3 linked regions of the Cricetulus griseus genome follow. The protein of the gene in region 1 interacts with the protein of each later gene in a biochemical or structural test. Links are inferred from orthologs where the notes say so. Each region holds a gene or a part of one and is shown on either strand. Other genes may lie near its edges.

Region 1 (5,183 bases):
AATACAGCTGCAATGCATACGTAGCACATACACCCACAGAAGCAAAACCTATATCTTAATCCTTCTCATTCAGTACACTAGCCAGACCTTAGGCTGATGCCCCAAGCAGCGATGTCTTGGCCCTGCCATCCTGCTATGCTCTAGGTTAGCACTATGCTTGACCAATAGCAGTACATAGCTCACAGTGGCTTTATAAGATGGGGCATGACTAAGTTCCTTCCAAATACATAAAGCTTTCTGCCACTATCAAACATGAACACATGTCTACCTACAAGGAAACCCTGGGTACAGTGCCCGATTTTCTCAAGGTCTACAAGTAGACTCCTCTCTACCCCTACACGGGTGTCTCCATGTGATACTTGCAGCCCTCTGGTGCTCACTATTTAACACAACTTGACAAGCCTCTAGTGCTGTTCATTTCATCAGGCAGTCCACTTTCAGAGCCTGTTAATTACTCTCATTTGTTTGCTTACACACTAATTCGGGAGAGGCGACAAAGCAAGCAAATTTAACAATTTGGTGTTAATACTATATGAAGGAGTTCTGTATGTCTTCAAATGGCCCCCTCCCTGAACAGAGGGAAACCTCCCACACCAAACAATTGCCTTAGAAATATGAAGGCAATCATTTTCTATTGGTGATAGAAAAATGAAAAAGGGAGGCAGATGCAGCTTATTTTGGATCATATATGATGTTTGAGGAACTAAACAGAATACATAAATAGTGTTTTTCATCTCCTCTTGCTATTCCCTATACAGTCCCTCTGACAATACGCAGGAGCGAACAGTCACAGGCACACTCGGTTCTTGTGTCTATGTTCTCCACTTTGACACCCCACACCAGTCAGGATCAGCAGCGATTCTCGGAGACAAAAGTGTCAAGATGCTCCTGAGGTGGATTCTGACACTGGCTGCCAGCATAAACAAAGCGCGCGCACACCAGTGACAGATAGGATTCCTTTAGGCAGATACATTTCCCAAAACACCCTTAAAATATTTCTTTCAAGGAGCTTTTAAAAATAAGCATGTTATTTTTAAAAATTAAGAGACCCTAAGAAGAAACGCAGCTGTCTTCATCTCCCTTGATACCTCATCCAGGGAGCCCTTTGTTCAGTATCTCAGCACCTCCAAGAGCTCAGACTGCCCTCCAGCTCTAGACAAGGAGCTAGGAGGAGAATCCCCTGGGTAAACAAAACAAGTCTACTTTCACCCATCTCCAGGTAACAGCTAACAGCACACACACACACACACACACACACACACACACACACACACACACACACTTTATTTTACACAAGCATGACAAATAATCAAAAACATATCACACATTATTTGCATTGTGATCATTCTTTGATAAAATAAGCAATCCAGCAAGCACTATCAAAAAATAAAATCAACCCTTACATGCCCTGCCTACCTCAAGATACCCATTTCATTCCACACTTAGGTAGAATACACACACTCACACACCATGCCACAGTAGGAAAGCAGTACACACACACACACACACACACACACACACACACACACACACACACACATGCCAATAGGGAAGCTGCTGAAAGCAAAGCCATAACGTGAATCTGTGAATCGGTCTCACATAATAGACTCTCTTTAAACCCCACCCCCATCTCCAGAGAAAGAGAGAACCTCAGAAAGAAAGGAGCGAGGGTAAGAAAGAGAAATCAAGAAAGCCCAAATTTCCAGGCATCCACTTTTCATGAAATGCACAACCAGGATAGGAAATACCTCCCCGCTGAGTAATGCTTCATGGGTTGTAAATTCACCTCTCGAAAGGGGAGCCAGACCTGGGCGCGCACCCCGCCAGATGGCGAACCACTCCTACCTGCTCCATCCAGCCTGCCTGTCACTCCGAGCCCGCGACAGGCCTCCCACCCCCCTTTTTGGCAGAGCAACACACCAATAAGAGTCGAGAATGGCTGGTCGAGTGAGGGCTGAGCAGTGATTTAGCAGGATCCTTTCAAAAGGGGGAGTGGGGACCGCGATGAGCGAGTGAGATTTTTTAAAAACAAAGCCCTCTCCAGTCAAACCGACCGTTTGGGGGTGTGGCTTATTTCATTCGTTTTATTAATAAAAGAGATCAATGGAGCTTTCTTCTCTCCACCCACCCCAGAGGTGCGGGGCTTTGAATCCTCTTGACGAAGGAGAAATGGCAGGGCTGCAAGCTTCCCCTAAGTTTCCTGCAGCACCTGCCTCCTTCTCAGATCACCTCCACACACCAAAATAGAGGAGTTCGAAACGCACAATCCCAGCTCCAGACTTTGCAAGACCCAGGGGCGGCCGTACACAACTCTCCCGGTGTCACCCCCCCCCCCCCCGGGATCTGCACACATCCGCTGCCGAGCGCCCACTAGCAAGAAAAGTCCCAGAAGGAGACACCACCAGGCTCCTCAACAATCCCCAGATAGCCTGCGCCACGCAGAGACCCCTGCAGCGACCCAGACGTGACACTTGTCACGGACTCCTGGCTGCAGGGGCATGACCAGGAAAGTTGCCTAACAGCCCTGAGAGACGCAGCTTGCAGAGGAAAGGGACCCGCGGGGCAGCGACTCACGCGGCCTCCGCCCACCCCGAGAGCCCCGGGCAGAGGAGCGGAGCGCTTCACCCGGACAAGTCACCCACCGCTCCGGACCGCTCTGGGTCACCCGGATTCCGGGACCCACTGCTAGCAAGGGACGCGCGCAGCGGAGTGGCCCCGTCCTCTCCCCACAACGCTCTAGGCAGAAACTCACCTCCTCTTCCGAAAGTCCGTAGACGGGCTCCCCGAGCCCGGTCGCCATGGAGCCGGCGCCCCGCGCGGGGTCCTAGACGCTGCGATCGGCTGAAGTGCGTCGCGGGGCCGCGACCCTCTGTCCTTCTGCGCCGCCGGGCGGGGAAGGGCCGGCAGGTGAGGCTGCACCCGGCCGCGGCGCCGCTTCCTCCCGGAAGGCTGCGGGGACGCGCGGACTGGCGGCTCCGAGAGCGCGCCGAGCGGCGGCTGGCCGAGCGCTCTCTCTGCTCAGCGCTCAGCCCGCGGGCTCCCGCCCCCGCCGCTGGCTCTCCCGGCCTCCCCAAGCCCCGCTCAGCGATCCCTGGGACCCGCGCCCCCGCCCCTCGCCTGCTCCGCCCGGCCCGCCCTCTCCGCCCCGCCTGCGCCGCCCGGCGCCCACGGCGACCCTCCCGTTCGCCGGGGCGGGCACTGGCGCCCCCCAAGCCAATCACAGGCCGGGTTGGGGGGCGGGCCGCGGGGGTGGTGGTGTTTCGCCCCACGCCCACCCCACCCCCAGCGCCTCCTGGGTCACCCGCCGCAGAGTCCTGGACTGGGGCGCGCCCTGGCGGGCTGGGCCTGCCGGGCTGACCCTCTTACTTGCCCCGCTTTTCTCTGCCTTGGGGACCCGGTGGAGTGGACCTTAGGGGGACCATGAAGACGCCGTGCAAACAACAACAAAACCATTGTTTCCATTTTTATCTTTCTTTTTTTTTTCTTAACCCGAAGTCTCCAGGAGCGTTAAAGGGGCGACGATGCATGTTTCTAGACCCCCTTTAAATTCTTGGCAGCTATGGCAGGCCAGACTTGGCTCACCGCGTCAGCTCCCCGAAAGGATTCGCCTGGCCGGGCGGCCAGCCTAGGAGAGGCTGCCCCGTTGTGGCCGCGAGTCGCCATTGCCGATGTCAACTCTACTGGGAACAAAACCAACTCTGCGCCCGCGCTGAGTACACACCCACCCACTTGAAACCGGGCTGCCTGGTTCTTTGATAAAAGCTCGGGCTTTTTTTGTAAGGCACAACGTGAAATACCAAATTCAACTTTAAGTTTGTCCTTTACATATGCAAACCTTGGAGACGTCTTATTAGCCACCGTAGGAGTCTTCCCACATTCCAGATAGGGAATTTCTCTAGCAAGCCCTTCATTTAATCTTTCGAAGTACAGGAATGCAAGAAGCTACTTTAAATAAGTTAAGAGAAATTCGTCACTCTACTTTTTTCAAGAAGCCTCCCCTAAGAGCCAGCCGTGGTGGCACACGCCTTTTAATCCCAGTACTGGGGAGGCAGAGGCAGGCAGATCTCTGCGAGTTCAAGGCCAATCTGGTCTACAGAGTGAGTTCCAGGACAGCCTCCAAAGCCACAGAGAACCCTGTCTCGAAAAACCAAAAAACCCAAACAAAAAAAAAAAACAAAAACAAAAGGAAGGCATTCGATCCTAAAAATAAGTGTTGTGTGCAGTGGTAAATTAGAAACAAGAACAGAAAGAACGTGCTATTTTCCTTTAAAAAGAAATCATCAGAGTGTCTGGTTTTGTCTGGGAGGTTAGGATTTTCACTGAAGGAAGAGAGAACAGATCAACAGAGTCACCTTGCCTGGCCCACCTTAATGATCAAATACCTGGTGTACACCCTGAAAGGCGGTCCCACACTCCCCAACTTTAGCTCTCCCTTTCATCCCTTGCAATGTGTCCCATGTAATAGCTTTCCTTTGAAGCCAGCCTTGTGGAATCAACACACTGCTCCGAATCCTCGGAATTCAGAGCCATCAAGTTTATATGGCGCTTAGGTGCCACAAGAGCCCTACCAAGAAAAATAAAGATTGTGAAGGAACATTTCCCAGAACTCTGCTCGTGTTTTCCCATCAAGAATTTTCAACTTATCAAACCTAGACTATTTTTCTTTTTTATAAAAAGTACACGGACACACACACACACACACACACACACACACACTCATTTTACACGCCCTTCTCTGTGCCTCTGACCCATATAAATGGAAGTTCCTTAATATACACAAGCAGAACTTTGTCAAATTTGCACCTTATGTTACAAGGTCAGTAGAAAGAGCTAATAAACTCCAGAAAGAAAACCATCTTTCTGGCGGGGGGGGGGGGGTTTCCAGAGATGATTTGGTTACAAGCCTATCCTCCTTCGAATGCCTGTAACTGGAACTGCACAGGATCAAATGAGTACTTCCGTCTTCACATATGGGCACACACGCATGCAGACATACACATATAAATAAAACAAATTTTAAGAAAAATGTTCATTTCTGATCCTAGAGGTAAGGCTGACTTAAACAACTAGTCTCTCCAAATAGAAACATTCTCTCCAGGATCGAGGCAGACTCCCCCAGACAGTTATAAGGCTTACAAGCCCTGAGCTGGTTACATAAAAACAGTAAATTGTTGAGAGAAAGG
Region 2 (5,029 bases), about 93 Mb from region 1:
AGGCTTCACATCTCCAGCACTGTGAAGAATGAAAGAGGAGGCTTTAAGATCCCCCTGGAAAGGTTCGTGTTTTGAGTACTATAGTTTGGATGGGATGGCTAAAACAAAGATACCTGGGAGAAGCGCTTGGGGAAGCTCTGAAGTTAGGTGACATAGTAGGGAGGGTCTCTGATGGAAGACGTCTTGATTTCATGTTTTAAAACGAATAAGCAATCTTTCAGAGACTGGTGTTTCAGACCAAACCTTTTTTTTTTCAGAGGGGAAGGAACCAGGAAGGAGGGGGTACAGGATGGGGTGCAGCAGGACTAGTCTAAATAAATGACTGCTGCCACGTGGTTTTTGGAGGCACTCACAGGCAATAACAAATTCACAGTTTGTGCAGAATTCAAGCACGGACAAAGCAGCATGGGCTAACTGCTGTGATTTGGAGTTGCCTATACACCTTGTTTTAGGTTGGAGTGCCAATTTCAGGCACCCTAAGTGCGTTTTGAAGAGTGTCCACAAAGCAAAATCTTGTCTTCAAAGAGGGGATGTGCGTCCCCTTCAACGGGTCTCTGGCTGTCTGAAAGTGAGGAAATCAAGCAGCAGCTGAGACTAGAGATCACATTAGGGCATGTGAGGTGGCTGTGGCTGTAAAACAAACTCCTGCCCAATACGGAGGGAAAAGAGCTTCGCATGCTTTTCCTGGCTTGACAACTGGTATTTTGGAGTGTGTCAGCTCTAAAATGTTGGGCCCTTCTCAGCGAGGGGTCATGGCAGGGCAGTCACCGCAGACAGCACCAGCCAGCGCCAGGTACTGGCTCTGAGAGTCTTGCTTACTTGTAGCCACGTTCCCGCCCCTGGTCCAGACCGGTGCTCCCGGCTTCCTAGCCAGCGCTGGCGCGGGTCGCCGCGTTGGCGGTCAGGCTATAGCGCCAGGCATCCCCCAGCGGCGGGGTTACTGCAAGGTACCTCACTCCTCTAGCCAGCTCAGGCTACCTCCTGCAGCTTTCCTCTGTTCCTAGTTTTCTGAAACGAGTCTCTTAACCTTTAAAGAGTTAACGAGTTTCAGTTATATGTGAACTTGCAAGAAAAAGCAAGGTTAGAAAATTAAGACTACTTGGGCCCGCTGTGAGGTAACTCAAAGGAGAGTAGGGAAGATGCGGAATAACGAACGGAGCTTAAGGCGATGCAACGCAATTTTGCATTTTCTTGTGAGAGAGCAGCAGGTCCCCTGGCAGGGGAATCGACGTCGCAAGGGTCACTCCAGGTCGGCTCCCAGAGCGAAGCCCCTGCTCCCCCTAACTTAACACCTCCTCACGTGTTCTTGGCATGGCTAGGATTAAAATTTGCAAGGCACAAAAATTATATGCGGAACGGACAGAATGTTCTCGGAGATTAGTTGAAAAAAAAAGTGAAATGAAGATTGTACTTTTTTTTCTTGTAGTGCAGAGACTTATTTCCGCCCCCTCCCCTACACATTCCTGACCCCCCTCCCCCCGCTCTTTCCTTCCTTCCTTCCTCCTCTTCCAAGTTCTGGGATTTTTCAGCCTTGCTTGGTTTTGGCCAAAAGCACAAAAAAGGCGTTTTCGGAAGCGACTCGGCCGTGCACAAGGGACATTTGTTTGTTTTGGGACTGGGGCAGGAAATCTTGCCGGCCTGAGTCACGGCGGCTCCTTCAAGGAAACGTCAGTGTTCGCCGGTCGTTGTCGCCCGCTGCGCGCCCCTCAGTCCGCGGCCATGGGGGAGATGCAGGGTGCGCTAGCGCGGGCTCGGCTCGAGTCCCTGCTCCGGCCCCGCCACAAAAAGCGGGCGGAGGCGCAGAAAAGGAGCGAGTCGGTCCTGCTGAGCGGACTGGGTAAGCACCGCCGCCCGGCCCGCGGGGACTCGGCTCCGGAGGGGTATGGGTGGGTGGAGGTCGGATGGAGACGGGAGGACGGCGCCGCACAGGACCCGGCGGATGCGAGCCGGGCACCGGGTCGGGAGAGCGAGGAGGGGAGAGGTCGGTGCTGAGCGGCGCTCCGCTCGGGCAGTGCAGGAGAGGAAATGGAAAATCACCGGGGCTCTCCACCCCTCCAGTCCCCTCCTTCTGCCCGGGCGGACGGAGGCCGAGTGTCCCCCTGAGCCCGGGTCCTGCTCGCACAGCCCTTGAACCCTCGGCCCTGCCGGGGCGGTCAGCACAGCTCACCCAGGATCAGGCGGCCAGCCACCCGCATCCGCCCGGGTCCCGGTCAGCAGTCGCAGTGGCGGCCGGGGGCGGGGCCTCGAGGTGGGCGGAGCCCGGAGCTCCGCTTCCTCATCATTGTTCCGCCGGCCCCGCCCCCGCGGCGGCGCAGAGCATATAAAGGCTGCCGCGCGGCCGGGGTGCGCTGTTGGCTAAGCCGGTTTCACTGCTCCGTCTTGTCTCTGGTCTTTTCGGGGCGATGACTGTGAAAACCGAGGCTGCTCGAAGCACCCTCACTTACTCCAGAATGAGGGGAATGGTAGCGATTCTCATCGGTGAGTGCTGGAAAAGCACCGGACTTGAATAGGAGAGACGACGTGAAAGGCTGGAGGGTTTTGAAGGTTCGGGATCAGATTAGCGTGTGGCGTCGGACGTTACGGAGCCGCCTAAACCTTTTCTTTTTCCTCTCTTTTTAATTCACAGCTTTCATGAAGCAGAGAAGGATGGGCCTGAACGACTTTATTCAGAAGATCGCCAACAACTCCTATGCATGCAAACAGTAAGTTTGGGGTAATTAAAGAAAATAAAAAGAATCGTTTAAGTTTAGCAGCCGCTAAGACATACTATTACCACTTTGTTCATCGGGGGAAGCCGAAGTATTTTCTCTGGGGTAGAGATCTCTTGGTCTTGAGCATTTAGCTTATCTGAAATAATTCTAAACATTAATATTAATTTATGGGTCGAACCTGCCCTGGAGATGTAAGATTAATTCGCGTGCATGTTTATCAAATTTCACGTCCTCTCTCGATGGACCAACCTCAATTTGTATATTTAACCGGGTTATTTTCTTAACCTACGTTTTTGTAAGTAATTCATTCAGATGTTTTCGGTTTAAACGGTGAACGGTTGAGTCAGAAATTGAGCTTATGTCGGTGTGCCCTCTGGTGGCGAGTTAAGAGTTTCTAAACCGGTCCTTTAATCCCCGCAGCCCTGAAGTTCAGTCCATTTTGAAAATCTCCCAACCTCAGGAGCCCGAGCTTATGAACGCCAACCCCTCTCCTCCGGTAAGTACTCTTTTCTGGAGGGAAATGGTAAATGAATCTGTAGTGGTCAGTTAAGACATCATTTGAAAAAATTATTTATTGTGAAGGTAGGAATGTCTTCAAAACATAACAAGTGGCATAAGTGTTTAAGTATTGAGTCACTGGAATGTTTTGAAAGGCATATTTCATAAACTTGTATCTGCTACCAGTTGGCTGTGTGCAGCTTTTACGTACTCACAGATATTATCATAGATATTAAAGGGCGATGTTTTTGTTTTCTAGCCAAGTCCTTCTCAACAAATCAACCTTGGTCCGTCCTCCAATCCTCATGCTAAACCATCTGACTTCCATTTCTTGAAAGTGATTGGAAAGGGCAGTTTTGGAAAGGTAATTTTCAAATATGACAGCTTTAAAACTATGCTCTTTTGTGCATTCATTTGCACATTCTCCCTGGATGAGGATAGAAAAAAAATTTGACTTGTTTGATTGACATTTCAGGTTCTTCTAGCCAGACACAAGGCAGAAGAAGCATTCTATGCGGTCAAAGTTTTACAGAAGAAGGCTATCCTGAAAAAGAAGGAGGTAGGAGTGACACCTGATGGCCTTAGTGATTATCTTTACCCTGTTATTTGGTGCCAGGCTGAAGTCTGAATTTGGTACTGAATGTCACCTTTTTCCTAGGAGAAGCATATCATGTCAGAGCGGAACGTTCTGCTGAAGAATGTGAAGCACCCTTTCCTGGTGGGCCTCCACTTCTCTTTCCAGACTGCCGACAAACTGTACTTTGTCCTTGACTACATTAACGGTGGAGAGGTGAGCTGGGGGAATAGACCTCTAGAGGTGGTGGGGTTTCTCTGCTCAGCTTGCTTGGTTCAAGGAATCAACATTTTCTTGAACTTATCAATTTATTATTAATCTATTTCAAGCCACTTTCTGCAGTCTTTCTCTTCAGGCTTATGTGTCAGACTTGATTAAATGGCCCCACTCAGCCTTGCTTTGTTTTGTCTCTTGCAGCTGTTCTACCATCTCCAGAGGGAACGCTGCTTCCTAGAACCACGGGCTCGCTTCTATGCTGCTGAAATAGCAAGTGCCTTGGGCTATCTGCACTCCTTGAACATAGTTTATAGGTAAGTCGGAGGCAAAGCAACCTGGCTGGGAAGGAGGGAGGCCTGGCGGAGCCTTTGGAGTCTTAAAATATGTGATTATGTACAATTCGGTCACTTCTAAAACTTCCCTAGCATGTGAGCCAGCCAAGAGGGTGGTTCCTAATCCAGGCCAGCAGAGCAAAGACTCCTTTCTGTGATTGGCTATGGAGCAGCAAGGGATTAAAAGTCCTAATCCCTTTAGCAGTCTTTCCAGGGGATTTGTCATGAAGTGAAATTAACCTATGCAACCACTTTTCATTTTCCCACAGAGACTTAAAGCCAGAGAATATTCTCCTGGACTCACAGGGACACATTGTCCTGACTGACTTTGGGCTCTGCAAGGAAAACATTGAGCACAACGGTACCACGTCCACCTTCTGTGGCACACCTGAGGTAGGCACTCTTGACTTGGTGCCTGATCTACCTCCCCTTTCCAAAAGAGACATGTGCAGTAAGGCTTTTACATACAAAAAGTAAACTCTAAAGCAATTTCTTAGTATGATTCAGTACAAGTAAAGTAAGTTTAGTGTTTCACTGAGGATCTCCAAGGCCTTCTGTGGTTTTCATTCAAGCTAGCTGTAAGATCCATGTCATAAGAGATCCTCAGTTTCACTAGGTACTAAGTTGCTCTCTAAATGCATCAGTGCTCACACAGGGGGCCAGTTACCCTCAGAGAGTATAGCGGTTTTAACGAGGCA
Region 3 (4,881 bases), on another chromosome or scaffold:
TGTTTTTTGGGGGATATAACTAGGGTGAAGACTGGAAAGGGCTTGATAACCCCACTATAATATTGTTTCATATGTTGACTGTCTAACCAAATATAATAATTCTCAAAAATATAATTAAGTCAGTGTAAGACTTAAGAGCTGGTGTCACCACAGCTGCTCACCAAGCAGTGAAACCGAATTTGGCAGTGATTTTCTTCCACTTAATACTATAAAACTAACATTATGTGAAGAAAAAAATTGAGAATAATATTGATTTGTAATTATATGTCATGCCATTGGCACATGTTTCTGCAACTAAACTATATTAATTGAAAATTTTATGCAAATATCACAAAGAAAAACAGCACATTGATTACTGTGGCAGTTCTTCAGTTACTTAAAAGGCAGTTGTCCAAAGCATTTGTTATAAAAGAATGAGGTGAGGCTTCTGCCAAACATTTCAGACATAGGTGAAATTTAAAATTTTTCTTTAATTGCTTTTAATACTTCTTAAATCTTTTGATTTCTGATACAGAGATCGAGACCAGTGCTGCATGCACACAGACAACCACCGTGCCACTGAGACAAATTGTAGCCCAGATTATTTCTAATCCTTCAGGCTAATTATTGATGATAGTTTTATATATTTGGTGAAAAATAAGAGGAAATCATGTTGAGTGGAATAGCTTATTTAATAAAAATCAAGTTTCCTAAATATGAAAGTGCACTTGGTTACACATTTCCACAAAAGCTCTGCAAAGGAATTGTACTTTTATGAACTACATTATTTGTGGAAAAGGGAAGGAAATTCAAAGACATTAACTTCCTCAAGATCCTAAAGGTAGAAGTGATGTAGCTTGTATTAAATTTATGTTTGTTTGATAAGTTATAGCCCAATTCCCTTTCACTTTTTTCTAGCCTATAAGTTAACCCCAGCTTCTTGTTTTGATAAATAAAAACTGAAACAGCACCACACTGGTTATTGCCCATGGTTGCTTTCACACTTTAACAGTAGACCTGATTATCTGAGACAGATTGGCCGAAATAAGTTTGAAAATTAACAAAAGTTGACCAAAATCTTAACTTAATTCTTACCTTTAGACCTCACTTTTCATAGTAAATTCTATGCATGTGTTTGGCTTTTTTTTGTTTGTTTGATTGGTTGGTTTTGTTGAGACAGGGTTTCTCTGTATTGCTTTGGAGCCTGTCCTTGAACTCTGTAGACCAGGCTGGCCTCAAACTCACAAAGATCCACCTGTCTCTGCCTCCCCAGTGCTGGAATTAAAGGCATGTGCCACCACCACCCACGTTCAGCTTTTAATTAGACTCCAGAACATAACCAGCAATTGATTAATTATATATGTATTAAATATAACAACATTGATAATTTTAGTAACATTAGACTTATTGAAACATTATGCTTTTTACATAATTGCCTCGCAGTGAACAACAAAATTAATCTTTGAAAAATCTAATCACTTTATTTGCCTAAACTCACAATTAACAATAAAACATGAAAGTGTTCTACTTGATAAGATCTGTTTATTAACTAGAAAGAATAATAAATTAATATTCAGTAACTTCTACATTTGCTTAAAATTAATGCTCTAGCTGGAAGGTGGTGACACATGCCTTTAATCCCAGTACCAGGAGGCAGAGGCAGGTGGATTTCAGTGAGTTCAAGGCCAGACTAGTCTAAATAGTGAGTTTCAGGACAGCCAGAACCATAAGAGAAACCCTGTCTCAAAAAAAAAAAAAAAATTAAAAAAGAAAATTAGGTGACTAGTTGTCTAAAAAGAAGAAAGATAACATTCACTAAGTAACTAATTAAAAAATGTAGTCATGGGTCTATAGTTGCAGGATGTGGGAGACTTTGAGGCCCTGAAAAATCTACAAATAACTGATTTTATATTCTGGATTCTATCAAAAACATTGACCTCACTGTTCCCAAAAGAAGCACTTGACTCACACCTTTCTCTTTTAATATTCATTTCAAGACTTTCTGAAAGGTTGTTTTGAGGTGGAAAGGGAGTCAACATAAAAACAATCTATGAGGAATGAGCAAAGGTGATATGCTAGAAACTTTGAAAGTTCATGAAAGGTTTTTTCCCACTAATCAGTTAGAGCTGGAGCGCCAGCACAGCTTCCCACTTTTGGTAAGTCTCAGTCTCAGTGTGTGGCCTCTCTGTCACCTCTGCCACTTGTCTGTTCCATTTCCATCTTAAGGTTGACCCTTTGCCTTCTACTGAGATAGAGGCCCCCTAAGAAGGTAGGGAAGCTCAGAGAAGCACAGAGGGGGCAGGTGAGTCATGCATCCTTGCTCCCTTGTGCACCTGGGTCTCTGCTGGAGATGAATGTGCATGCATACATATATGTCTTTTCCCTCCATCAAAGTACTGGAAGTGCAACCAGTTTAACACAGGGAAAGCCAGTAAACAGTGTTGACCTCTGTCTCAAGGTTTACACTTAGGCACAAAAGGCACCGAGTATCAACCTCTTGCTCTTTCCTGTGTGCATCATCCAGGTGATTACACAAACACATCTGAGGTTCCTTGAGCTTCATCTCAAAAGGGAGATCCACTAAGAACAACTTGCCTTTTTTTTTTTTTCTATTGGGGGACCAAAGTAGGTGTATTTTCACAGATATTAAATACAATCATACTACAGTTTTATTTTTAAAATTGCAATTAACAAGTATTATCTATGGTGATGATGAAAGAAGCCAAAGTCCCGTGAGGGCCTGGGACTCCTCTTGTTTTGTTTTGTTTTGTTTTGTTTTGTTTTGTGATGGGATTTCATGTAGACTGGACTGACCCTGAACTCACTATGTAGCTAAAGATGATCTTCAACTCCTGACCCTTGGGCCTCCATGTCCCAAATGTTGGGATTCCACATGCCACCATCCTGCTGCTGTAAATGGGTCTGATTCATAAGCATATTCTTAGTTATTTTTCATGGGTTGCCAGTTTTAAAAATCCCAATGTGCTCACACACACACACACACACACACACACACACACACACACACACACACACAGAAACATGGAAAACCCTAAGTAAGCAATAAAATTAAGTATTCTAAGGAAAGAAAACATTGTTCCCATTTGTTTCTGAGAGCTAACAAGCAGATTCACAATTCTCTCACCTCCACATACCTGTCACTCTCCTGAGAAGCAGCTATGTGCATGAATCAGACACCACATGCCAGCACTGAGTGATTAGCCACTCCAACTCATCAGTCACGGCACCACTACCTACCTACATAGAGGACTCCCTCTTTTGTCTTTCCTGCTGCTTCTGCCACACCCTGCTTGGTTTTTTCAGCAGCAGCCACAACTCCTTCCTTGGCCTTGGAAAGTCCTTTCATGAACACATCCATGGCGAAAGATGTCTTTTCCTCCACTCTAGAGAATACACAATACACTTTGAATTAAAAATTTGAGTAAAAGAAAACAAGATTAAAGCAGCTAGAATGGGAAGAATTTTTTTAAAAATCAAGGAAGAAATCACTGAAAAATCAGTAGAGACCCCCCCTCCCCAATCTCTGTGTAAATGAACACTCGTTTTTTTTGTTTGTTTGTTTGTTTGTTTGTTTGCTTGCTTGCTTGCTTGTTTTGAGGACTGGGCATGGTGTTGCTTGTCAGCTTTTTCACTCAAATCTAGGAAGAGTCAAGCCACTTAAAGATGGGATGGATCCAGATGGATCACCTGGCCATTCTTACAGCAGCTGGAAAATGGAGTTACATGGCAAGATGGGTGGACTCTACCCCATCAAGTTCCCAGGGCCTAAAGGCGACATTCTAAGTAAAAAGCTTGTCTAGAAAACCAATGGAAGGGGGTACTGAAGTCGGGGGCAAGGGTAAAAGGACTCAGAAAGGGGTTAGTAAGTGTTTAGTCTTAGGAGAGGGGAAGGAAGGGAACTGCTTACTTCAAGATGAAGGGAACAGCACGCCAACTGTCATCAGCCCAGCTGTTCAAATCTAACAAGACCTTCCACCCACTGCTAGCTCTCCAGTCTGTTATCTGCCCGGAGCAGGCGCTGTCCACACACTTGAGCCGGCTCACTTCAGCTCTACCCAACCTGGGGGCCCTGTCCTCAACTGGAATCTGCTTGAAAACCCTGCACCCCCGTGCTCATTAACCCCTTATCACCTGTTGCCAAGTGCCTTAGGCACTTTTATTAATCACTGGCCAAATGTAGCCTCCTTACACTCCAGATAAGAGATAGAACGTGCCCGGGGTGGGGGATGAAAGTTGGATGCTCAGGTTTCTCCCAACGCCCAGCGCTCAGCTTCCAGGACCCAGCACCCAACACGAAACACCCTGGCGTTTCCGCTCGAAAAAGCAGATGCCACGAACAGCCTGGTTTCCCCTCGGGCTTTGGGAGAATGGAAGAGCACGTCTCTAGCGCGAGGAAAGCCAAGTAATGTACTTTCAATGCACTGGCCGTGTCCCCACCGCTGAGGTAGCCTCAGCTGGAGATCTCCCAGGCATCGGGACTCCTCTTAGCCAGGGTTCTCCGGGATCCCCAGAGCTGCTGCTATCTACAGGTACTTACCGGCGCCCTTGGCTTCGCAGAATTCAGATTCCTCCTCTCTGCCCCTGATCTTATTTCAGTGGCAGTGGAAAGGAAGGCTCTGGGCGGAGGGGCAGGGGCAGCACCTGCTGGTCTCCTGCCGTCTGCTGCTAGGCGCTCTGGCTCCCCGGCTCCTCCACGTCGCCCCCGCAGCTGATTTGTCAGCGCCTCTCCCCGCCCCTCGCCTGCCTCGTGCCTTCGTCCCTTTCCTGGGGAGGGATGGGATGGAGATGCGTGAGGGCTGCGGGTTCCAGAAGCACGCTCCCCAGGAGGAGGGAAGACAGGGTGGCCTGAGAGTCACCCCGAGTTCAGGGACCCCGGGCTCT

The links.
Region 2: of the proteins of Nedd4l (region 1) and Sgk1, one has a biochemical effect on the other in vitro, tested with the Homo sapiens proteins (5 studies listed by BioGRID). The link is inferred for Cricetulus griseus from reciprocal best matches to the Homo sapiens genes NEDD4L and SGK1.
Region 3: of the proteins of Nedd4l (region 1) and Snca, one has a biochemical effect on the other in vitro, tested with the Homo sapiens proteins (3 studies listed by BioGRID). The link is inferred for Cricetulus griseus from reciprocal best matches to the Homo sapiens genes NEDD4L and SNCA.

The regions. Positions count from the first base shown.
Region 1 is NC_048595.1:174,384,900-174,390,082, forward strand, and holds the start of Nedd4l (E3 ubiquitin-protein ligase NEDD4-like), read right to left. Parts: upstream 3,101-5,183; 5' UTR 2,801-3,100; coding exon 2,753-2,800; intron 1-2,752. UniProt on the Homo sapiens protein: E3 ubiquitin-protein ligase that mediates the polyubiquitination of lysine and cysteine residues on target proteins and is thereby implicated in the regulation of various signaling pathways including autophagy, innate immunity or DNA repair.
Region 2 is NC_048595.1:267,813,740-267,818,768, reverse strand, and holds the start of Sgk1 (serine/threonine-protein kinase Sgk1), read left to right. Parts: upstream 1-1,644; 5' UTR 1,645-1,719; coding exon 1,720-1,837; intron 1,838-2,327; exon of another isoform or gene 2,328-2,402; coding exon of another isoform or gene 2,403-2,478; intron 2,479-2,626; coding exon 2,627-2,702; intron 2,703-3,131; coding exon 3,132-3,207; intron 3,208-3,468; coding exon 3,469-3,573; intron 3,574-3,684; coding exon 3,685-3,768; intron 3,769-3,867; coding exon 3,868-3,999; intron 4,000-4,200; coding exon 4,201-4,313; intron 4,314-4,600; coding exon 4,601-4,724; intron 4,725-5,029. UniProt on the Homo sapiens protein: Serine/threonine-protein kinase which is involved in the regulation of a wide variety of ion channels, membrane transporters, cellular enzymes, transcription factors, neuronal excitability, cell growth, proliferation, survival, migration and apoptosis.
Region 3 is NC_048601.1:81,915,541-81,920,421, reverse strand, and holds the start of Snca (alpha-synuclein), read right to left. Parts: upstream 3,359-4,881; coding exon 3,238-3,358; intron 1-3,237. UniProt on the Homo sapiens protein: Neuronal protein that plays several roles in synaptic activity such as regulation of synaptic vesicle trafficking and subsequent neurotransmitter release.